Linked DNA regions of Solanum lycopersicum. The protein of the gene in region 2 interacts with the protein of the main gene of each other region in a pairwise test. Links are inferred from orthologs where the notes say so. Each region holds a gene or a part of one and is shown on either strand. Other genes may lie near its edges. The genes, in order: phantastica and MAPK12.

What was found.
Region 1: the proteins of MAPK12 (region 2) and phantastica interact in binary tests that used the Arabidopsis thaliana proteins (3 or more experiments, as listed by UniProt). The link is inferred for Solanum lycopersicum from reciprocal best matches to the Arabidopsis thaliana genes MPK20 and AS1.

Annotation. Positions count from the first base shown.
Region 1 is NC_090808.1:4,652,546-4,665,548, forward strand, and holds phantastica, read right to left. Parts: upstream 8,060-13,003; 5' UTR 7,910-8,059; intron 7,401-7,909; exon of another isoform or gene 7,223-7,400; intron 5,431-7,222; 5' UTR 5,381-5,430; coding exon 4,298-5,380; 3' UTR 4,171-4,297; downstream 1-4,170. Other genes in the region: E3 ubiquitin-protein ligase PRT6, read right to left, coding at 1,150-1,215.
Region 2 is NC_090806.1:66,708,191-66,721,220, reverse strand, and holds MAPK12 (mitogen-activated protein kinase 12), read right to left. Parts: upstream 7,328-13,030; 5' UTR 7,163-7,327; coding exon 7,139-7,162; intron 6,096-7,138; coding exon 5,687-6,095; intron 5,468-5,686; coding exon 5,340-5,467; intron 5,199-5,339; coding exon 5,139-5,198; intron 4,213-5,138; coding exon 4,063-4,212; intron 3,977-4,062; coding exon 3,821-3,976; intron 3,709-3,820; coding exon 3,497-3,708; intron 3,414-3,496; coding exon 3,312-3,413; intron 2,660-3,311; coding exon 2,490-2,659; intron 2,386-2,489; coding exon 1,931-2,385; 3' UTR 1,794-1,930; downstream 1-1,793.

The DNA.
Region 1 (13,003 bases), on a different chromosome or scaffold from region 2:
GAGATATGGTCCCTTAAGAGACGGAATCTCACCTTCAAGAGAAATCTAAATGATTGGAAAGTGGATAGAATTGTTGAACTACTGCTCAGATTATGTGAATTCACAGGCCTTGCTATAAAAACAGATGGTATAAGATAGAAACATGACCCTGATGGCATGTTCTCTACGTGTAGACTGTATAAGAGAGAGATTATGACTCACACATGGGGAATTCTAGGTCCAGGGAAACAAATGTGGAAGTGCAACACCCCAACAAAGGTGAAATGCTTCACCTCTCTCGAAGGGCATGTCTCACACAGGAAAAACACAAGAAAAGAGGTTTCCATATTGTCTCCAAATGTTTATTTTTGTCATGAGAAGGAGGAAACTAACCGCCACTTATCCTACACTGTAGGATTACTGTCCAGGTGTGGCACATGGTTCTCAGCATTGCTCAAGATCCCTAGGTGATGCCAGAACTTACTGCTGATCTTTTGAGTTGTTGGATGAGAACGGGGGGGGTCAAGACCCAAAAAGGATGGTGGTCTTAGCTCATGAGAATATTACTAACACTATTCAGAAAATTAAAGAAAATTGCATTAACATGTTGTATTTTTGGTGTAAAGAAAATGGTATAGAAGAAGTAGAACAATTGATAGATCTCCTAGGATCAATGCAATTATGGATATAGGTTGTAACTTTTTGGAGGTAGCCACTAGCCAGCATACCTTAACGCTGAAGAATACAACCTAGCACGCAAGAGTGTAGCCTAGTGGTCAATAAAGTGGGTTGAACACCCTAAGGTCTCAGGTCTCATGTCCAATCCCAATAAAGACAAAACACGGTGATTTACCTGCTTACCTGAATTAGTCGAGGTACACACAAACTAGCTCAAACATCACCATTATCAATACATATATAAACCTTCCAACTTCATTTCTCCAGTTCAGTGATGAATCATATAAAACTCAACTCAACTACACCTATATCCCAAACTATTTAGTTTCAACAAAATGAATGAATCCTTATCCATTCCACTCTATCTTCAAAATTTCAAAGCATTGTGATTATCTTAATACTAAAAACCTCAATAGTTATAAATCACGCATAATAGGAGAGTACAAAATACATAAAATTAGTTCCAAGCAAAATTCAAGTTAACCGGAGTACCTTAAGAATAAATTCCTGCGGACTTGTCATCTTCGTCTCCGGCGCCGGCGCAGAATCAACCTCCATTAGAAAAATGAACCGAATCCAATCGGCGCAATTACAATCCCCAATATTCACAATTATTGTTCCCCAGGGCTGAACGGTACTGTCAGTCTTACACAATCAAACCTTCAAAATTATACGAAAATCTGAAACCCTAACTGATTTCTAAAGGCATACGATTCTTGAATGGGTGTTTTCAGATTTTTATCAATTTGTAGTTTTTACCATTGAAATTGTGTGATTGATTTTATTAAATTCCAACATATTCATAGGTAATATTTATATTTCCTCTTATAGTATTAAATTTTTGGATATGATTTAGTTATATAGGTAATAATTTTTTATATATATATTTGATATAAGATAATACATAATTTATATATGTATTAATTATTGTTGATTTCTAAATTATCAGTCAAATGTGATATTACTTTTATATATAAATAAATTAGTTCATATTTATCTATAAAATGTTGTATAAGTTATTCGAAAAATAATATTTAAATAATTTATTTCTTGTCGTGCTAACAAATGACTCATTAGAAATGTGCCTAATTCTATACTGCTTTCGATTTAAAATAGCATTTATGTTTTCCTTCTCGATAATCAATTTGATTAATTTTTAAAATTAAATTAATTTAATTATATATATATATATATATATATATATATATATATATATATATAAAGTTATAACAGTGGTAATTTTTAGCATATCAATGTAATTAAAAAAAATCTTAATATAGATAAAAATTCATATTGTTTGACTCTAAAGAAATGGGCAACTTTCACATATAGCAAACGTAAAACTCATATTTGTATGTTACAGCAAAGTTTGCATAATTGCACTCCGTAACAAACATATAAATGTATAATTTGCTAATATATATACAATAGAATTTTTTTTTGTAAAACGAAGTGTATAAAACGAGAAAGAGAAAGAGATTTGGATAGAGAATTGTATAAAACGAGAAAGAGAGAAAGTCAAAAGAGGCCTGGGCAGGAAATATACAATTGAATCGAATTGTATAAAACACAAAAGTGAGAAATTATATACAGTTTGAATTTGTATAAAACGAGAAAGAGAGAGACGGAAAAAACTGGGCAGGTGAATATTTTTATTGTAGAATTATAAGTGTATTAGACGAATATATATATATATATATGCTTGTGTATATACAATTTCATCTCGCTTTATACAAACAGAAACATAATTTATACATTTTGTTTCTGTTTGTATAAGCGAGAGAGGCGAGGGTGGCGAGCGAGATTAGAGAGAGCAGCGAGCGAGATATGGGAGAGGGGAACAAAAATATATGTATTTGTACAATTTCTGCTCGTTTTATACAAATAGAAACATATTTTATACGCTTGTATTTGAATAAAAGTAAGAGGAAGCGAGCGAGAAATGGAGCGAGAGAGGAGAGTGGCGAGCGAGAGTTTGAGGGAGGGAGATGACTAACAAACAGTTTGCTATGGAAACACAATTAAATCAATGGGTGATTATAACAATTAATTTGATTTATTAGTTTGCCATTATAAACAATTTCCCCAAAAAAAATTTATGACAAGTATTTTAGTACAAAGAAGTATAGAATTATCCCATCCAAAATTGAAAATACTTTTGTATATAAGAAAAAACTTAAAATACTCTTTTATCTTTGAGATAAAATCAACGACATCTTTTGTTTTATACATATAAAACAAAATAATAAGAGTTAAAATACTCTTTTATCATTGAGCTAGAATCAACTATATCTTTGTTTTTTTATATATATAAAACACAATAATAAGAGTTTTATAATTTTCGTCCGCCATCTAATCTTTTTCCTTTAAAAAAAAATATTGAGATCGAAAGGTTCATCACGACAAATTTAATATGCATTAGTACATAAACATTTGTTGCAACATTAGTTGTCTACGATCAATTGATATAGTTCAAAAAAATAAAGATTATTTTTTATTTAGCTACAACGACGATTGAACAGGAATAGAACATGGAGCACTTTTCTAGTTACCTTCTTTTTCGTAAAATTATTATTTCTAGTAAACATAAAATAACGCGATTGAATATTTGACAGACTAAATTATGAATAAAATTAACTTTAAAAACAGACAAATGATTGAGGAAAAATCGAAAGGATATTAATATTTCAAACACCAAGGACTATTAGTAGTACATGTAAAAAATAAAGATAAACTTTTAATTTTAATCCAAAGAAAAAAGATTATTTTGAGCTTTTTTATTTTATATTTTGATGAAGTTTTATATTTGACAAGATTTCCAATGTTTAGAACAAGAAAAATAGCCAACCATATCAAAAACACATTTCTAATTTATTAACATGTATGTTTTCATAATTGATGGAAGTTTTAAGAGTTCATACATTTTTACTATGCAAAATAATACCATCATTTCTCTTTGAACTCTTTTAACAACTTATGATGTCTAATATTGAGAAATATAACAAGATTTTCAAGTAACTTAGAAACAAGAACAAACCTAAATTCTAATATCTTTTTGAAGGATATTCATGCAAATATGATGATTAAAACCTAAATTAGAATACTCATAAAATACTATATTCAAACTATTAAAAGATAGCTACTTTTAACACAAACTCAACATTTTGTTAGAGAACCTCCCTTTCTGATGAAAATCCATATGAAGAAGAAAATCAATGAAGAACCAGAGGAATCTAGCATATATATATCAGAACTCGGTTCAATCCTCCACCTTAACGACAAAGAAAAAGGATTGATCAATTTCTACTGAGTCGCACTTACTGTAAGCTCATGCAATGCCACTCTAATTATATACTAGCACAAGAAATTGAGTAAGCAATATTAAAAGATGTTGCTACTGAAAAGATACAAGCACGTTATGTTGTCGCGAAGTTGCAACAGATCCTTTGCAGATAACAAAAATACAAGTTGCAGGCTATTATAAAATTATCATATCATGCATAGAGGAAAACATAGAAAACCAAATAGAAGATGATCAAACAAAAAGTTTACAGTAAGAAAAGTCGCGGCAAGTAGAAAGAACCGTCTAAAGGAGCAAGGAAACACAAAAGAATTCTTGGCTTAGCTTGCAAGCTTTGCTTTAGCGGCCGCCATTAGGTTCAGCAAGTCTTGATTGGCATCCCATCTGCTCAAGAAACTTAGCAAGGCGCATGTGTTTGGATGTCCATTGCTCTGCCAATTTCTGCTCTTTTGCTTCTGCATCCCTCCTCAAGCCTGCTAGTTGCTCCTTGTATTCTGCTTCAATTCTGTCTAGAGTTGCTTTCTGTTCTTCCCTCAGCGCTTTCATTTTTGCTTCAATTTCCTCCATTTTCTCCCTAACTTTGCTTGCTTTTTCAGATTCTAGTTGCAATTCAACCCTCCTTAACCTCCAAGCTGCTTCCTTCTTATGTGCAGTCCAAGTACGATGCCCTTCGTCTAAATCCTTGCAGCATTCCGCAAGTTCAGTAATAAAAGGATTTTCTCCACAAGGAGCAACACTATGATGTGGAAAACTGCTCAAGATGAGAGGCGCATTATCAGGTCCTCTATCTGTCTGTAGCCACGGAATGCCAGGTGTAGGTGTAGGCGGCACAGTAGAGGGGGAGAGACTTAAAGTCACAGATGGAGATGATGATCTAACAGTTGAAGGAGCAGAAGAATTAGAAAGCCACGGAGGAAGAAGAGTTTGTGGCGTAGGAGTTGAGGCATCGGCGTGGAGGAAACCTCCATTAGAAGTAGCCATAAGTAAACCTGGGACACTCCTTTCTTTCACAATCTTTTCTGCAAAGGTTTCGAGAATGTGATCGTATTTTCCCTCGTCTACTGGATCAACAACCTTGTTGTTTTCTTTCTGCTCTCTCTGTTGCTTCTCTTTGAAAACTTCCCACCACTTTCCTAATCTTTTAGCAGTTCGACCTGGTACTTCAGCTGCTATTTTCTTCCATTTGTTACCGTGTTTGGCTTGTAGTTGTATAACAAGACGCTGCTCGTCTTCAGTGAGTGATCCTTTTTTAATCCCTGGTTTGAGGTAGTTTTTCCACCTTTCTAAACAAGACTTCGCGTCCCTGTTAAGGGGCGTGTTCATACGCTGTGATACAAGGTGCCATTCTTTTGGTCCATACTGTCTCACGTATGCTCGCAACAAAGCATCCTCTTCAGCTCGCCACCGTTGCCTCTCCCTCATTTCCAGGTGTAAACACCAGTTTCCATCCTCCCAAACTCCTCATAATTTTCCTGAAAGAATGTTTCGCACCATTTTACTTGCAATACTTGAGTATAGAATCTGAACCATAACTTAAGCAAGCTATTGATCACAAACAAAGTACATGCAAGTGCATCACATTTAATGTAGTTACTAAAATCTTAACTTGTATGGGAAGTCATTACAACGCCCCTAAATAAAATACCGTCACAGTAACAAAGGATCATGATCGTTCAGTAGGACTTCAACAAAGGAAACTCATGCAATGTTCCAGTACTCGAGACATATCCAAGAGAAGAATACAACTGATTGCTCATATACAAAACTTAATAGAAAATAGATAATGAGAACAAATGATGTACATATTTTAAACACAGTCAACATGCTAGTTCCAAATAAAACACGGCCTCAAAAATTGGGACAGAGGGAGTAACTCTGTTCTAACCGCGTTATTTAGGGGTATCAGGTCATAATTTTCAAGAAAGTGCTGCTATGTCAATCTGGTATCACTACTCAGGACCAGATCAATATTAAAAATAATGTAAAATTGAGTTGGCATTTCTAGAAGACATCATTAATCAGATAGAAATAAGAAAAGAATCGAAGAATATATTCACATTTACTTTTGTTCAGACCCTTCGTCATTGAACTATTAACATGAACAGAGACCAGACTAGCCACATTCGAAGGTCACATCTAAGATATATGCAGAAAAGACTGTAAAGAAAAAACGAAAGCAGACGTGTGTGCACACAAGTAGATTGATTGAAACATGCTTTACATAAATCATTTGATGCAATATATTAACAATGTACCGGCATAATTGTATGATTACACGGATCATTAATAATCAGACATCACAATACTCAATCGGCTTCACTATCTAGATCGATATCCTTCTTGACCAGCATTGAGGTACAAGATCATTGCAAGTGCATAACAAACACAAAAAAGAACTCAGCAGAATATGATGATGCAAATTAAGTAACACCCTTCTTCCTAGATTACTTAACACATGTTCATTTAGCTCAATTGCAATAACCCTTTAAGAGTACTAAAGTTTTCATGTCCAAAAATATCTATGAAACATCAAGCTCTGAGACTACTACAACATACTCAGTGTAGTCACACAAGTGGGATTTCGGGAGCATACGAAATACACAGACCATACCTACCTTTGTGGGGTAGAGACGTTGTCTCTAATGGACTCTCAGGCTCAAAAAATAAGTTTTTTGAGGAAACGAATACACTATCAAAATAGCTAGACAAAAAGCAAGAAACACCAGATAACCACAATGAGACTATCCACAGAAATTGAGTGACACATATCTTCAATATATCAAGATAGAGAATAAAACAAGCTTAACGTGAGAAAACACAATAAAGATGGGAGAACTTTTATGCAAAATGTAATTAGGTAGTTATACCAGAAAATGTATTGACAACAAATAGAAAGATTCAAGACTAGCAATATAAAAACAACTCTTAGTAAGATCTGAGTCAAAAACAAACATGGTAGAGATTTCAACATTTTCCTAGTTACAGTTGAAGCCAAATTCTGCAAAAAGGCACAGAGATGATGGAAATGCAAAGCATTACAGCCAAAAGATGGATTCCTTATCTTCTCCACATATAGCATAAAAACCATACATGTAAATGCAAGAACAAAAAGACACAATTCAGTTTAAGACAAGCATCTTAAGAAAAAAATTTCCACACACAATCCAACACTGAAAAACAAACACAAACATAACATAGTAGAAAGCATCCATCATATCAGTTTGATTACAGAACCATAAAGGGAACAAGACTTGAGAATCTTACAAGAAGCCTCAAAGGAAGCACAATTCTTGCTTCAACCTATTAGATCTTTCAGTATTTTTTTCATGAAAAGATGCAGAAACCAGATTGTGCAATATGGGACAGAAAAAATGGTAATGCAGAGGCCACTAGAGCAAAAAGATAGATTCTTTATCTCCACCAGACATACATGTGAATACTTGAAAGAACAAAAACACACAAATCAGTATTTAAAAAAATAAAGAAACAAGCTGCCAGCACTGAAAAACTCCACTTCCCAGAAAACACAATAAAGTCAAAAAAGAAAAATACCCATCAAATCAGTTTGATCACAGCATCAAAAAAGGAGACAACTTTTCATAGACTTACAAAAGAACTCACAAGATACCACTTAGGCATCCCAGTTCTTAGCTCAACCCATATAATCATTTTTAATCTATTTCAAGAAAATATGAGCAAAAAGATTAAAAAAAAAATGCAGTGACCAAAATGATAATGCAGAGACCACTAAAGCAAAAAGATAGATTCTTTATCTCCACCAAATACAAACCATTAATATAAATTCTTGTTAAGACAAGCAAACACAATTCAGTAAACCAAAAAAAAAAAAAAGCAAACAACTTTATAAGACTTACCCACAACAGAACACATCATTTTGATCACAGAATCAAAAAAAGGAGCAAACTTTAAGAGATTTACAAAAGAACTTACAAGAAACAACTTAGGCATCCCAGTTTCTAGCTCGACCCATATGATCTTTTTTATTATATTTCAAGAAAATGAGTAAAAGAAAGAGAAAAAATTGAAGGATACACTACGTTTAAGCAAAAGAGAAAATGAAGAAGAAGAAGAGAGATGAAACAGAAAATAAAGGGAAAATGCAGAGTAATAAGAGAGAAAAGAGGTAAGGTATGGCCCTCTCTGTTTGAAGAATGACGTGTATAGAGAATGTGATGACGAAGACGGCAATGGCGTCTTTAACCAGAAAGGTTATTTGTACACACGCACTATTATACAACTAGTGTTGTACATCTTCTTAGAGGGTAAAATTCAAAAAAAAAAAAAAGTTAGAAGTATCACCACCTCAATTCAAATTATCGCAAAGAGTTGCTCGTATAATAAATATTTATGTTTTTACTTTTAATATTGTGAATTTAAGTTATCAAGTGAATAAAAATATAAAAATTCTATCGAATAAATAAAAAGATGAAAACTTTCTGAGAAGGAATATAAGTTCTTTCATTGTAAAAATATTTTAGCTTTCGAATTTAAGTTCAAGATTATATATTCAAAGTAAAGTGAGAGGCGAAAGATTCAAATAGTAAAAAGTTCAAATCATATAGTTATATTGAATTGAAGTCTAAGATCATTATTTATTGCGATAAATATGACCATTAAATCACAACTATATGAAAAATTCACATTATTATTATTATTATAAAATTTGAACTCTAATATCTTATTAAAGTTGGTCTCATCTATCGATGTTGATGGTTATGATAAGTCTGTAGTTTGAATGTTGGTTGGTAATTAGAATGTGTGTATAATATTGTATAATTTTTTAAAATTAATATATTTTTGTTTGTATAAATTTATTAATTTGAATTTATACAAAAAAAAAATATTCAATGGTATAAACCTATCCGTTAATTATACTAACTCATCTGCAGATTATACAAGGCAATTTAAATTATAGTTAAATTTCGAAAATATGTGAACTATAGCTATAGCTATAAATGTATTTTTAGATGTTATGTTAAAAGTTTCAGTGTATAGAGTACAATGTTCAATTATAAATTAAAAAAGATGAAATATTAAACATAGCATAATAAATTTTCATCTAATCCTTATTTTATTAAATATTGTCACTACGATAAAAATAACTTTTAGCAGTATTAAATATTGACATTAATAAATAATGTTAAAGTTTTTACCGATATTAGTTAAGTGTCATTAGAATCAATATCGCTAAAAACTATAAAAATATATATAAAAAATGACAATTGCTAATAAAAATATATATTTAACAACAATTAAAAATTGATTACAATTAATAATCATTTTTATTGTACTAAAAATAATATATAGTACACATGAATTGTTTTGTGCTGAGTTTTATAAAATAAAAAAAAAGAAGTAATAAGCTATCAAATATGTATTACTAAAAATAATAGCACGTATTAATTTCATAATATATAAATATGCTATTTAACTTGGCTTCAAAACATAATTATGCCCTTCAATTTTGGATGTATACAAATATACACTTAAACTTGTATAAAGTTGAACAAATAGACACACATGTCCTGTATGTCATCCTACAGGTCATTTTTTATCCTACGTGTATTATGATATATAGAACTCGTGTGTTTATTTATTTAAAAATTAGATAGTTAAAATATCTATTTGTGTATTATAAAAATTAAAGGTTAAAATTAAAATTTTAAGTTAAATTTAAAAATCCAACATATTTATTATGCCTTAATTTTAATACACAAGTAACTTTCAAATAGTTGAGTAATAAAAAAAAAAAGAGAAAATATGAATAAATACATGCTTCATTGAAATAGTAGCTTTTCTAATTTAGTGTTTGCAGAAAATTACAGACTCTCTTGTGCAGAAAATATGTTCAAAATACGAAAATAGTTTGTGATCTTCAAGAATCTTTTTTGTTTTATTTCTCATTCGATTTTGTGTTCGAAATTTTTATTGAATCTCTGATTAAATTATAATTGCATATAATAAATTCATTTTAAATTGCCTTTTAAATAAAATTTCTCCATATTAAATTAAAACTAGACAAACTCAAAGTATTATTATTTTGTTCAAAAAAGTCACTTTTCTTAAAAATTAATGCTTCCTCTGTCTCTATATACTTGTTCATATTTTTTTTAATATATGTTTCTATTTATTTGTCAATTTTAATAAATCAAGAAAGGACAATAATATTTTTCCTAATATGTCCTTATTTCATTCTAGAAAATTTCTAATATTACTAAGTTGTAATGGATGTTTTTTGAAATCAGAAAATATATTTATTATACTTGGAGAGTTGCATAATTTTTAAAGTTAATAGTAGAATTACAACTAACCTGTGATAATTATTGTTGTCTTAATATGTTTGTCACTTTTAAAGTGGACAACTAAATAGAAAGAGAGAGTATTTGACCATAATCTTTTTAATAAATACAATAGATCCAAAATATATTCAAATTATAAAGCCTTTTTTTTTTAAAAAAAAATAAAGACTATACTCAACTTTGACATAAAATATTTTTTTTTTACTAATTATAATTTTTTATTTGTTGGGAGGTTGGGGGGGGGGGGTTAAAGAATCATAAAATGCAATAATGGCAAGTAAGGGAAGTTTTGTAGACAGTAGTACTGATTAGCATCTGCCTAGTTCTTTGAAACTATCATCATCAAAACTCTTGCATTTATTTTTATTTTTATTTTTTTAAAATTAGTTTTTTTTTATTACTTTTTTGAAAAGTGGAAAAAAAAATACTGTTTTGATTTTTATTGTTTTCAACTTTATTATTTATGAAATCTTTTTAACTATTTTTCTGATAAACCTGCCTCCTACTCGAAGTGACTACACTCTTTACTGCCACCCCTTTAACCCCACAGTGGGAAAAAAAAAAGTAGCATCACAGTATCACCTTGATAATAGTGCCTTTTTAAAAAAAAAATCTTTTTTTTAAGGTTATATTTTTGATTTATTCATAAAAATTTGATTTTTAAAAATTACTAAATAAAGATAAATTCATAAGGTTAACTAAATAAAGATAAATTCATAAGGTTAACTAAATAAAGATAAATTCATAAGGTTACCTGTTTTTTCGTAAAAATAGTGCCTTTTAAAAAGAATCTTTTTTTAAAGGTTGTTTTTTTTTTTATCTATAAAAATTTGATTTTAAAAAATTACTAAATAAAGATAAATTCATAAGGTTATCTATTTCTTTTCTGTAAGAATAGACTAAAATCTAAAATGATAATGTATAAATAGAAATGTAGCAAGTACTGTTATAGCAATTTGTATTATTTATGTGTTTGTAATAAATTTTAAAATGATGAAAACTTAATTGTAATCATAAATAAAATATAAAGAAATATAATTTTATTGATAAATATTGTAGATACATTATTCTTTTCCTTTAGATTTCTAGATCTATTCATAATTTGAGAATCGTTAGTGGGCGTATTCCTTAAATTTAGATGTATGGACTTGATTTTCATAATTCGAGCGTAGTTGGTGACGTATTTCTCAAGATAGGATGACTTAGATTTGATATTCATAATTCGAGGATTGTTAGTAACATAATTCTCAAATTAAAATGATTTGAATTTGACCTCTTTATAAATATTTCACAAATTTACAAGTTAGTTGAGATTTTAATTTTTTGTATGAATAATTCATGTATTGTGATAGATATTTTCAACTTTTCGATCACTTGTTCGAAATGCTTTTCAACAAATATAAAATCATATATATAGTCATTACTAAAATTTAGGACTAAATAGATAATTTAAATTGAACCCTTTATAGATTTCTACAAAATTTTAATATCTATTGAACGGTAAAACAAAAATAGTAATAAAATAAAACAATATAAAATTTGTATTTATGTATCTCTGGTCATCATTAGCTACGGGACTTACGAGGATTGAAATGACAACTAGCTAGCCTTTGTGACCAGAAAGTCTAATGTATTTTTATAACTATAGGAGACAAGGATTTATTTTCCAATTTTTTTCCTTATAAGGCAAAACAAAATATTCCAATCAACAATATCATTTTACAAAAAATATATGGAGTTTTATTTATCTTGATTAGATATAAATTATGAAATTATGTCTTAGGTCTAATTTGTCAATTCGTTTTAAAGAAAGAGTATTATTCAAAACTTATAAGAAATCTATCTATCTAATTAACTACCCTCACGATCAGTGCTTAGCATCTAGTGCATAAGCAACGGGCTCTGCTCTGATATCATGTGAAATTAGTTCACATGCCTAATTCACACTCCAAAAGCTAGTTCAAAAGGAATAGGATTGTCCAAACCTTACAACGAGTCTACCCATCTCATTAATCGTCGATGTACAACTTTCGTCATTCTTTGACATAAATCACCTAAGTTTAGTTACCTATTATATAAATACTCAAAAAATATATATAAGTTGATATGAACACTCAAATTAGTAATCGATTGACATTATATATAACTTTTTTATTTACGTTCATTCACTAAAGAACTACTCGGCTCATTCTTCAAGAGACATATAATAGTTCTTTATCTCTATCTCGTGTGAGTGGAGAAATTTAACGCTCGATTCAACGTATGAAAACATAAACCGTAACAATAATAATATAGTAAAAAAATCGAAAACAAAATGATATAAAATATATAAAGATAAGAATTATGATAATGCAACTTAAAAAAAAAAACTTGATATGGGGGTGGGGGGGTAAAAAGGGGGTGGGGGTGGGGTGGGGATAGAGTGAGAGGGACTGTAGTCCGGGTTTCGCGGCATAAGGAGACGAAGATTGAAAGAGACAGGACTTGACTGCCCTCTTTCTTCTCTATGGCATTTGTCAGTGATACGTTACATCTATTTTTTACCCCCCCACCCCCTTTTATATACACAAAATAAAGTACAATTAACCAATATATATATAGATATATATTTATTCTTCTTTCATCCTTCTATTTAACTTCATATTTACCAACATTTGCCCTTTCAACTTTCATTATTGATGCGGTAATGTTTTAGGCGCAAAGTCAGAATTAAGAGTTTGAGATT
Region 2 (13,030 bases):
AACCAAGTTTGGGGGAGGGGGGGGGATGACAAAACGTTCACGTGCTCGGACAAGCTCGTGCTGATCTAAGGGCTATAAGAGTATTAGTTGGCACAGCTAATAACATCTTCACGCGACTATTTTTTATTAAATCTCTAAACTCTTAATTAAAGAGCATCAATTTTATCAATTACGTGAAGGTTTTCCTTCGTTACTCAACTATATGAAGTGTGTAAGGTATTGACAGGATGAAGTGGGTAAAAAAGACACTGAAACAATGTGGGGTTCCTGTTGAGACAATGCACACAACACACATTATGGATACTATGTATAGCAGGCTGAAAAAAGGATATTTGAATAATCATAGCTATGAGGAGAAACACATGCTATGCAATTTCCATGAAATTATGTGCCTTGTCCCCCACCCCACTACTCCACCACCCCAACCCAATCCTACTTGGCATATGATATACTATTTGGTTGGAAATTGATTTTTTTACTTTGTTCGATGTTTATATTGAAAACGGAAGATAGTAGATATTTTTAAAAATAGATAAATTACGTACAAACGAACTCAAACACTTTGAATAATTTAACCCAAATACATACATGGTTTTGTTTTTCTTTTAGCTTTTTGAGGTGAGGTTGATACATGAGTGGTGAGAGAAGGGAACTTAGTTGAGGTGTTTATGTTTAATTAGAATTATGCACCTAAGTGATATATTATAAAATTTCAATCATTAAAAATATAATTCTAACATATCAAGTCATGTTACATACTGACACAAGAATCATCAAAATCAGAATATTGTACACTTTATTTTACTTACATTTTCCATCATGCATAGATCTGACTAAACATGTCAATGACCTTATATATGTTTAAAAATACATAAATCTTAAATGTGTTCTATAACATTTCAGAGAGAAAATTCAATCAAGAAATATACAGATAAAAAAAAATGAGGAAGATAAAAACTTTTATATTTCAATATGCCAGTTTAATAAAGACATGCCCTACATAGGAAGATTTGAAGGTCAAGAATTATAGATAATCGAGTGTCGTAATTATATTAGTTAGTATATGTGTAGTATTTTATTTTCCTAATTTCCTATTACATGTTATTTCATATGTCTAGTTTATCTTGCTATTTTATTGTTAATTTTTTTTTTTATCGTGATTTGATTGTATTTTTTTGAATTGAGAATTTATCGAAATTATCTTTTCTACCATACAAAGATAAAATAAAGATGCATTTGTGTATTAGACTGAACCCCATAGCTGGACAAATTAATTTGGGAGGATATGTAAGATGAGTTTTGGCTACCAATACATATTAAATTAATTTGGATTTCATGAATATTTTTTTTATTGATTTGGTTGGTAGATGTTTCGTGATGAACTAGAAAATGATTCAACTTACTAACGAAAAAAAAAGAGAGTACATTATAGCATTAAAAAGAAGGTACATTATAGTGTATGGGTAGTTAAAGTGGTTCATTAAGCCACAATTTTTAATTTGTTTTAGCATCAGAATGTACACAAATAAGCAAAGAACACCTAAACAATTAGCATGGAAATTATATGTTCACTAAACCAGATGCCTCGTGATGAGAGGAACGAACTGTGATCGAAAAAAGAAAACTCGAGGGACATTTTTCGCTTCGTTGAATTTCAGAAAGAGACTCGCTGTTGCGGAGAAGGGGAGGGGACATTACCATCACTAAAATGAATTTCATGATGAAAATATGATATAGTCTTCATGTGATAACAACTAGGAAAAACTGACAATTAGGAAATAGGACTAGATCCCCTGCAGATTCTCCTGCCTGTACAACCCACCATACCCTTTTGTCCAAAGAGTTTCTGCCACCATTCCTGAGATGGACTTTCTCCAACCCCACCCAACATGTATGTATTCATAATTTCACCACTTTGGAGGTGTATTTTCTAGTACATCCTGGACATACCATACTGAACAGTCCCTACTTTCCTATGAGCTGCACCACTAGTAGCTGCTGCCGCCGCAACTCCAATTCCACCATATTGGGATTTAGCCTGCAATAAGTTTGTGTCTATGGTGATTCGGTCATCAACACGATCTGGTTTTGTAACTCCAGCTCGCATCATATAGAATGGGTTGCTATCAATATTTATAGCAATATCTGGGGCTAACTTAGCAGCCATTCCACATGGTGCCATTGGCTTTGAATGACAATTCATATCCCTCTCTGTCTCAACAGACCTTTCTTGTTTCACCACCCCACTTCTGTCGTAGCTGTAAACTGAAGACATAATCTGAGGGGGGCCTACTGCATTCCTGACTTGAGACCTAGGATCATATTTTTCTCTATTTCCCGAATCATAAGCCAAACCGGGACCAACAACTTTTCCTGGTTTGGCTGCTGGATTTAAATAGAAGATTGTGAACCATATGAGCATCATTGGAAACATCACAGTATTACAGAAAGTCAAAGTAGAAAAGTATTTCATCATTGACGGAAAATACCTAAAGCATTTCTTGGCTGAGCCTGTAGGGTTCTTGTTAGACTACTTGCAAGGCCTTCAGAATCTCTGCAGTTTCTACTGCAAGACTCTTCACCATTTTGTCGGTCTCTCATATTGGCAACAATAGGCTGTTCTTTCAAAGGGTTTGGATTTGAATGTACAACTGTAGACCTGCAATAGAATCACCGTGTTATCATTTCTAACTTAAAATAACACCAAACAAACAAGTTATACAATAAACTTTTGATTCATTCATCTTAAAAAATGCAAACCAAAGACTGACAGATATTGTATGATTGCATATACAAATTTACATCTGAAGCCAAAACTAAGATGCATATAAAGCATGAATTTAATAAGCAATCTAGTATTTGAATATCTGAACTAGTGATGGCCCGATTAAACATACTATGTAAATATATAGAAGGATATTAACACAGAATTGCAATTTTATTTTTATTTTTTTTTGGAGAATGGTAACTAACACAGAATTGCAATATAAGTGCATGCAGGGAACGTCCCAAGCCGAAACATCAACTGGTTTCCCTAATAGCACCAAACATCCAGTCAACTCAAATTCTTTATACCAAGTTGTCATATAAAAGGAAAGATTTGATCTTCTTCCTAGAATGGTAACTAACACAGAATTGCAATACAAGTGCATGCAGGGAACGTCCCAAGCCGAAACATCAACTGGTTTCCCTAATAGCACCAAACATCCAGTCAACTCAAATTCTTTATACCAAGTTGTCATATTTGATCTTCTTCCTAGATTAGACGATGTTATAAAGGAGGAAATTTGAGCACCAGGACTCATAATCACCTTGGAAGAGAGACATGCTTCCTGTCCATCGGAACCACTGGAACGCCATTACCACCGTTCTCTTCCAAGTGAGCGAACTGTTTCCTGAATTGATCAACAGCACTGCAAGGAAAAGCAATATGTAGTCAGTAATCCTTTGTTTAGACGAGTAAGCTGATGCACAAATGTCAAGAAAAATATACTACCTCGGATACAGAAAATTAGTCCTTTCTACACCATTCAAGTAATCCTTCCTCAGCTGAGGATGATATTCTAGTATCTCCCGGAATATTAATTCCCTGAGATCCTCCTTCGTCACTCTTCGCCTCTCAAATTCGAACTCCATTTTTGAAATTGACTTGCATGATGGTTCCCTTTCAGATTTAGCCAGACCCTTAAAATAAGGATCAGCTAGTGCCTGATTTGTTGGGTGGGGGGTGTATTAGTAATTACCATGCAAGAGAACAAATTATACTAAAATATCCAAAAGAAAAGCTCAAAATTAGTATGATCGGCATGCTAACACGAACCTCCTCAGCAGTGGGTCGGTCCTTGGGGTCAAAAGCAAGTAATCTTTCAAGAAGTTTAAGGGACAAAGGATCAGCATTTGGAAATTTCTGAGCAAAAGAAACAGGCTGCTTCTTTCTCATGCTAGTTAGGTATCTCCTAGCCTTGTCATTACGCACCTGCAACAGCCATAAAAAAGTCTAATGAGAAACACAAGTTTTGAGGAAAAATTGTCAAAAACGTAATGTTAATTGAATTCACATACACGAGAAATTGTATCCATTGAAGGCGTTCCAAGCAGATCAGTCATTAAATCCAGTTGGTGAACTACATTTTTTCCAGGAAAGAGCGGCTTCCCCGTAAGAACCTCAGCAAAGATACAGCCTATGCTCCATATATCAATTGCAGGGGTATACTGCAAGCAGAAACCATCAAAATTTGTGATAGTCAGAACTACATGCAGTGCAATGATTATAAACAAATTCCAGGAAAATTGACACTCTACTATGAAGGGTGATTGACCTCACAACAGTGCAAAATATCCATAATGCACAAAAGGATCAGCAAATTTGATAGAAAAGGTAAAATGCAAAGTGTTCAGCAAGTGCAGAGCATGTAAACAATAATTCTGATCCATGAATAAGAAAGCTGTACAATCAGAAATATCACACGAGACATGCACATATACATCCCACGTTTAAAGCCACCGCCGCCCTATGTAGATACTGCAAAATTTTAATTTTTACCTTCATAACCGTGGTGTTCATGCGGGCCACCTTGCACGCACCACAACTAAATCCATGAGATACCCCCCCACTTCCAAAAAACAAAACAACAATTTCCAGGCAACTTTATCCACCAAGGCTAGGACAAATAGGAAGAAATCACCTAGTGTTTTTTTGTCCTTTTTTGGGATTTGAACTTGAGACCTCATAGGTCTCACCCACTTCATTGACCTCTAAGCCACACCCTTGGGTGCTATTAATCATAACGAGAAACAAATCAATGGGTTAACAGTGAGAAATGCTTCTAGCTTGTGACAGCACCTAACATACAACATTTCAATCTATAAACCAATGCATTGATTACATGTCAAGTTTTCTGGACATCAAACTATTTGCTTACTAGAAGTACAATGAAAAAAGAGTTGGATTAGAGAGAAAAATACAAACAAGAAGAAATTGTATTCCTATTTCATCGCTTTAATTTGATTGTTATTTCTATAATCCTCTTTAAAAGAAGAATCCACATACTTGCATGACCTTTTTCACTGCAAACTCACAAAAGCATGATCAATATATTCTATTGATGAAAGAACTTTTAAGGAAATCCTAACTGTACCTTGGAGTAAAATGAACCGCATAACTCTGGAGCTCTATACCATCTAGTAGCTACATAATCCTGCAATTTTCACAAGTGAAGTTACTACAAGAGTGAAAACCTGTAAAGATGAATATGACATGTTGGTAAATATAAAATGCATTCAACAGATAAGTGGGGAGTGGTGGAGGAAGAAATATGCGAACATTCAATATCACCTACCGTCCAAAATATTGTGGTAGGTGTATCATTGAATGCAACTCTGGCCAATCCAAAATCACAGATCTTGAGCTTGCAATTTGCATTTGCCAAGATATTTTTCGGCTTTAAATCTCTATGGTAGACATTAGCTGCAGGAAAACAAAGAATCATCAAAATTATGATAACCCACATGAAATGATTAGTCCACTTACTGATGCCAACAGGACTGGTCAGTGCCCCATTTAGAGATACACAAACATAATCCTCTCCGAAATTTGAAAATAAGGGGAAATAGATTATGTGTAACATTATAAGAGCTCAAAATTCTATGGGATCAAAAGATGCAGCAAAATACCAGACTGATTTACCTGTGTGTATATATTTTAAGGCACGAAGCAACTGATAAAGGAAAAACTGATAATGTTCCCGAGTCAAGTCATCATTAGCCTTGATAACTTGGTGTAGATCTGACTCCATGAGCTCAAAAACAACATAAATATCTTTAAAATCCCTCCTCGAAGGTGGCAACATAATATGCTTGATTTCAACTATATCAGGATGGCGCAGAAGTCGCAAAAGCTTTATCTCCCGGAGGATCCGTGCCGCATCAGATATATGTTCAAAGATGTCATGAATTTTTTTAATTGCGACTTTTTCACCAGTGTGCGTGTCAATGGCTGAGCAAACGACACCATAGCTTCCTTTCCCTATGACTTCTTGAATTTTGTATCTATTTGCATCACCATATTCAGAGAAGAAGTCCATCTCTGCTGAACTCTGCAATATGGTACATAAACTCAGATTATTCATTTCAGATAAAATAGACAAGCATTCAACATTGCCAGTCTATGGTACGTCCACAGCTTTACGCATCATACAAGACATTCCCTAAATAATTGTCATATTTCATCCAATTCTATGAGTTCTGCAACGGTTTAGAAGAAATGCACAAGATCACAACTAGCACACATGTCATTTACTAACATTTGTACAAATACAGAATCTAACAAATAAAAGTCACCCTTCCAAAATATGATTCAACAATATAGAAGAGTCAAAACCTGAATGCTGCAAAATACCATTCTTTAATTTGAGTAAAACGAGCATATAGCCAGAACTACAATATGATGGATTACATAAAAAAAATTACCTAGTTTAAAGCAAGTAAAACATTTGTTCGCTGTATCTTTTCATAGTGGAATTGCATATAACTTGAATATTGTCTGTAATGAATTCACTCATAGTAAATAAAATAACCAATGCAGGAAGTAATCCCTCCATCTTGTGAAATTTAAAAGTGTCAGAAAAGATTATACTTTTAACTACAAAATCATCAACATGCTTAAAGAATGATGATTGTCCATTCAAAGAACAACTCAAATAACTCCATCTGCACAAATTTACAATCCGGAACCCACTTGAAGTAATTCGAACGGACTCGAGTACAAAATCATGCCTCCGAATCTCAGTTAGTTGACGGAATAAGTGATCCAATTTACAAATAAAAACAAAGATAGAAATAAACAAAAACACCCACTTGGCACAAAAGAACCAGAGCCTGACAGAGACGAAAAATAGGAATGATGGAAGGTATCAATTATCAACTCTTTTCAGCTTATCACTCAAGATTGACATTGTAACCCACCTAATCATTTTCACACCCACCCAAGAAAATTACTATTTAACCAACAAATTCACGAAGAACCTAACAAATCCAAATCCCAAAATCACAAGAAAATAACCATAGAAATCAGAAAGCAATGCACCAAACAATAGCCATAAAGCTAAATTTCCAAAAAAAAAAAGAAGAAAAATCTCACTTTCTTTCGGTGATCAGGCTGCATTTTTCTAAATAATTCGAGAAACCCCACAAATCCAAGTATAAATCCGAATCGAGTGATCCAAGTAGACAAGAGTGTTGAATTCAGAAATTCAGCCGCATTTACCCCAACGTCCTCTGCTACGGATGGCGAAAGAACAGTCCCAGTCCCACCTAATCCTCTTCAAATTGTCCAAAACTGGTATTATTATTATCACGTTATCCTGATCCTTCATAAACTCTCCCTCAACAAGAATCATAGAAATGGGTTCAACATTTCCACAAAAATACCTCCAAAAAACAAAACCCTAAATCTCAAAATTCAAAATTGCAAGAACTCCGGGATGGGATAATTAATAATGGAGTATGAAATCAAAGAGATATGTGGATCTGAAGAAACCCTAGCTGGTGGGGAAGAGGGAGATCTGACACCGACAATATTGAGGTGGGGTTGGAACTGTAGGGTGGTTGTGTTAGAAAGAGAAAGGAGAAATACAATACAAATATAAAGCACCTATATTTATTTTAATCTATCTATTCGATGTTCGATATTTAAAAAAAATCAAAATATTCATATTAGAATACGAAAAAAATAAATTATAAATTATAAGATTTACATTCGGGACCTTTTTAAGAGATTCAAACTCAAATAGTTTAAATCTGTCTCAATTAACATTTATGATATCAAGCACCGAGTGTGAGATGGAGTTTTAAAGAATGACAAAAGTCTCTTGTGTGATTAATGTGATGGGTCTCACATCGATAATTAATGAAATAATTAGACACTTTATAAAAATCAATCACTAGACACATTTATTCTGTATATCAAAATATGTGTAGAACATTACATAAAATGTTGCATAAAACGTCAAGTAAATTATCTGTATTTATTTGTTCAATGTTATACAAATTAAAATATCTTGTTATAATACACACATAAATATTAGATGAAAGTAAATTAAAGGACAAAATTTATAATACATTATTCATTGTTAATAATAGAATAATAATATTAGTATAAAGTACTTCATGTATTATATTTTATTAGGTGCATGTGATGTGAGTGTATCTTATCTGTATATACAATACATTAGTGACATCCAAGCGGCGTGTGCATTCAACACACGCAAAAGAGGCAAAAAAAAAAATATATATATATATATATATTCTAAATTTTAATATTAATTTATGTTAAATACTAATACTAATAGGCAATAGCTTTGAGAAGTAGATTAACATAAAGATATTCTTATTTTGTTAATTAGAGTTAGAAGTTTATTAATGATTAAAAACATAAATTTAATTATTTTTATGAGTACTAAAATTACTATTTTACATAAAATAATGAAAAAGAAAGGTATCTCCGTGCTTATAAGAGCACCACAAAATTGGTTGGTGTGTTATTAGTTTGGAAAGTTTGAGTAATATTGTGGTTGCATGCACCTTTCAACTTGGTCTACTATTAATAATTATGACAATATTTTAATTTAAATAAAAAAATTGTTTTTAAAAATCTTCGAGACGCTTGAATATAGCAAATTAATAAAGATATTAAATAGTTATTTTCCTAAATGACTAGTGTATATCATCATTTCATTTTAACTGAAAACATATTTATTAATGAATGATATGAAAAGAATAGTAATTATTTATTCGTGATAAATAATTATATCAAATCAAATAATTTAATTTTAATAATTCAATACAGAAGAAAGAGTACAATTATTATGGGAAAAAATTACTACATTATTTATATCAAGAGTTAATCTATTGTTTAAGATGTGACATTCAAACTACAATGTTGTCTAGTTGTGTTTCTTTTTTTCTAATCCAACTTAATAATGTAAACAAAACATTAGTAATTGAAATTTTAGGTTATAATATACATTTTATTATGAGAAAAAAAAATTGTATTAGAAATAGTTTAAGCAACTTGCAATAACTTTTTGTATTCCACTTTAATTATGTAACCAAAGACAAAATTTCAGAAGCAGTGCCATGAAATTAGGGAACACGTAGAAAAGGTGATTGTCGAAATAAGATCATATAAAATTATATTTTATACTATAGTATATTTTATTTTCAAAACTTTGAGTTGATATAAAAATATCTTATTTATCGCATCACAAATTTCGTCGATATCCATACATATTATTATTCACATCACAATTAGTAGAGTGATGATAAAAATGAGTGACAGCAACCTGCCAACTATTAGTATTTTGTACTTATTATAATGTGTCGGTTCCAATAAATTTAACTCTGTTTCTAAGATTCTACGGCCGATTTGTTTCTTTATATGCCTTTCTTTTTATATACTTCTAAAAAAATTAAATTCAGTTTTTAAATTTACGTGGTTTATATTCTCTGTATTTTTTAATATTAAATTTATATTTTCTTAAAAGAATCAGCTGATTTTTAATATAGAGAATTATTTTTAAAAAAATTTATAATAATCGAATTCTAAATGTAATATCGGACGGTGCGGAAAACAACAGAAAATGACGATTTGAAAGATTGATTGTGTGCTGACGTAATTTCTTGATTATTCCTATGGTTTCATTGAATATTCGATATGGATAAAATAATTTAGTAGATCTAACAATGAAGTAATATAACTTTTTTCTAATATGCTTGGTAAAATTAATTTTTATAGTGGTTCGATTAGTTTTTTTTCTAACAAAAAATACTTTGGATTAAAAAACAAGTTATTATAACTATTAGATATTTGATAGTACATAGTTAATTTATCGTTAAGGTGATTGATCAGATGAGGATCGTATATTTGAAATTTTCAAACATATTTTTTAAGTTAAATGCATGAGGTCTGACTTGTATAATATATCTCTCGAGGCCATAATATTGTGTGCTTCCAATGTCAATAAAAGTAACTCATCCAGTAATATTTAACATTCAAAAAAACTGTCAAATAAAACACATTTTGTGCCGAAATATAACAAGAATCGCCTCATCCTGGACCATCGTACGAAAAACTATTATCGAAATTCTTTTTATCTGACATTAAATTGGAACCACATGCATCGTAAGCACCTTTTACTAAATTCAATGTAATAGTATGTAAATCAAGGACAATAATATTTATCGTATTCGAGAATAATAATTGCGTCTGCTTATCTATTTTCATATTTATTTTTTATTTATATCATTAAAATTAATTGAAAACGTGCCTTCACAAGACTATGTGTACTTAAAAATAAATTAATCCTCTATTGTAAGGTCCTAATCAAGTTCTCTTGACATCTAACATGTCAATAGAATTGGATTTTTACTAATTATATGATGGGGCTTAATTAATTTTCCAGCTGGCTTTTAAAAAGTGTCATTATAAGTTGTCAAGTCACAACACAGTAATCTAATTAATAATTGTAATTAGCTACATTAAGGAGTTTGTCAATATTAGCTATTTTTTAATTAGTTGCTTAAATGAATAATAAAGCAATAAAAGGGGTTGGTGTGAAAGTGATGCCTTTCTTTTCGTCAAAATAATTAGGGGAAAAGCGTTTAAAATAGTTTTTTAATTTTCGCTAGTAGTTGAGATTTGTTTTTATTTATATCATTCGATCAATTTATTTATATCGCCATCCAAGTTAACAAAAATGCACAATTTTTAAGCATTTTCCCACCGTGTACAAGATACCTGACCTAATATTTGGGTGAGGTGAAAGCCACATGTGACGTGATATACAACTTACCGTCATATTTCCCCTTTCATTTCAATTAATTCTTTTTTCTTTATCTAATTACAAAATATACAATAATAAATATAATAAAGTTTTATATGTGAAGGTCTGATTCTTAATAGGGTAGTGTGTATACGACTTTATTCATATTTTATACAAATAAAAATATTATTTCTAATAATCCATCGTCTTAATTAAAATATATTAAACACATACGAGAATCATTTTTGCAACAACAAATAATGTAATTAAGTCAATTGAAATATTGACTTTAAAATTACATGATTACACAAATAGTGAAAAGCACTAGAGACTGATACAAACAAAATTATGATAATTCTCATACTCCTTAATTAACGTGAAATGATATGAATTTTCTTTGTCCCCTCTGCACAAACGTGTATTAATTAGTAATTAATAAATTGATTTGAGTCATCGACAATTATGTTCTAAAAGTAAAAGTTACTGCAATTAATAGATTTTGTCTTCATAATTCTATTGTAGCAACAGATACATATGCATGCAGTTTGCTAAATTAATCAAAGTGTTTATGGGCTAAATATTGATTAAGCGAAAAAAGGCAGATTCCATCTCTCTTTCAATTAATTAAATATTACATATATTTAATTAAATATTATATACGAATTAAAATCCTAATTAAGGAAATAAAAGTGTTAGTATAAGTTATTAACCCCCTAAAATATTATTGGATAGTTACTTACTTCCTAGCAAAGATAGAAACCCATAACCAACCTAAATAAAGCAACCAACAAAAAATATTATAAAATAAAACATCTTAATCAACTTTAGCATGATGTTCATATCATGCATAGTGCAACAACTAATTAATCGCTAATATGATCAGTGGTGAAATCAGAAATAATTAGTAATATTATAAATCTTATATTTGACCTTCTATAAAAAAAATTAAACATATTACTTTTAAAAATAACTCATATAATATACAATTTTAATTCAATCAAAATTTAATATCAAATATCGAAACTATCAATAAATTATGGGATAAGTTTGAAATAAAAATACAAATTGTTGCTCCAATCACTAAGCTTTTGACGTGAAAGAATGAATGGTGCAACTATTCATTCTTTTTAAAGAAAAACAAAACCATGTGCTAAAAAAAAAGTTTAATTATCCAAAAGACTCATTCAATTTTTTAAAATTGTGGAAGCTGAATCATTTCTTTTCCTGTTGCCTAAAAATCTATAGTAATTTTAAGATACAAACTAGCTTAAATATTAGGATTATAATTAATAAGATAGAAAAACATATTGATAATGAATATTTAGTTTTGTAAAGGGTAATTTTATTAAAATAATATTCTTGCTTATTTCATTGATTTACGGCTTCTTTAATTCTATTTTTTTAAACACCAACTTTTTCTTTCATTTAAGGAATGTGTTATCTGTTTCTTTAAGTTTGGACTTTGGAAAAATGAAAGCTGAAAATTCGTAGGAACAAACCACAAAATATTTTACTTTTTTTCTAATCAGATCTTCTGGTAAAAAGATTGTGTTGAGTGAAAACATTTCAACCATAAAAAAAGACATTATTTGATTCCGCACATTATAAATTTCGATGTAATATGATAGCTTGCAAATTATATTAGGAAAGTTTCGTGCGATGAACTCAACTGAGAAAATATGCAAGAAAATTCAAACCTTGTAACCTGTTCATTGAAGATCACATGTTCAATCAACTCAGTCACCCATATGAATAATTTTTTATATATTATTTTTATCGTCTAGTTAAGTTTTTTTGTTTGGTTCAAACTATTTGGCGAAGTGTCAAAAACATGATTTATTCCTAGCGAAGTTCAATTGTCATTACCTAATTTGACTTTACTACACAATGAATGTAGCGACATTTGTTAAGATTTCTAGTTAGCTGAACTGTAATGCTGGTTGATCCAAGATATTTGATTCTCAGTAATCGTTTGGTGTGAGGTATAAGATATAATAATTCAGAAATAAAATGAAGAACTATTTTGTTTTGCGTTTGGTCTGAAGGTATTAAGTAGTATTTGTATTATTAATTCTACCATTTTTATCATAGTGATGAGACAAGTTATTTCATATACATGATGAGATAATTTATCCTGCAATAGTTAATTATAGAATAACTTGTTTCGAACTATAAAAGTCTATAGAAGGAGGGAAATACCAAAAATTATT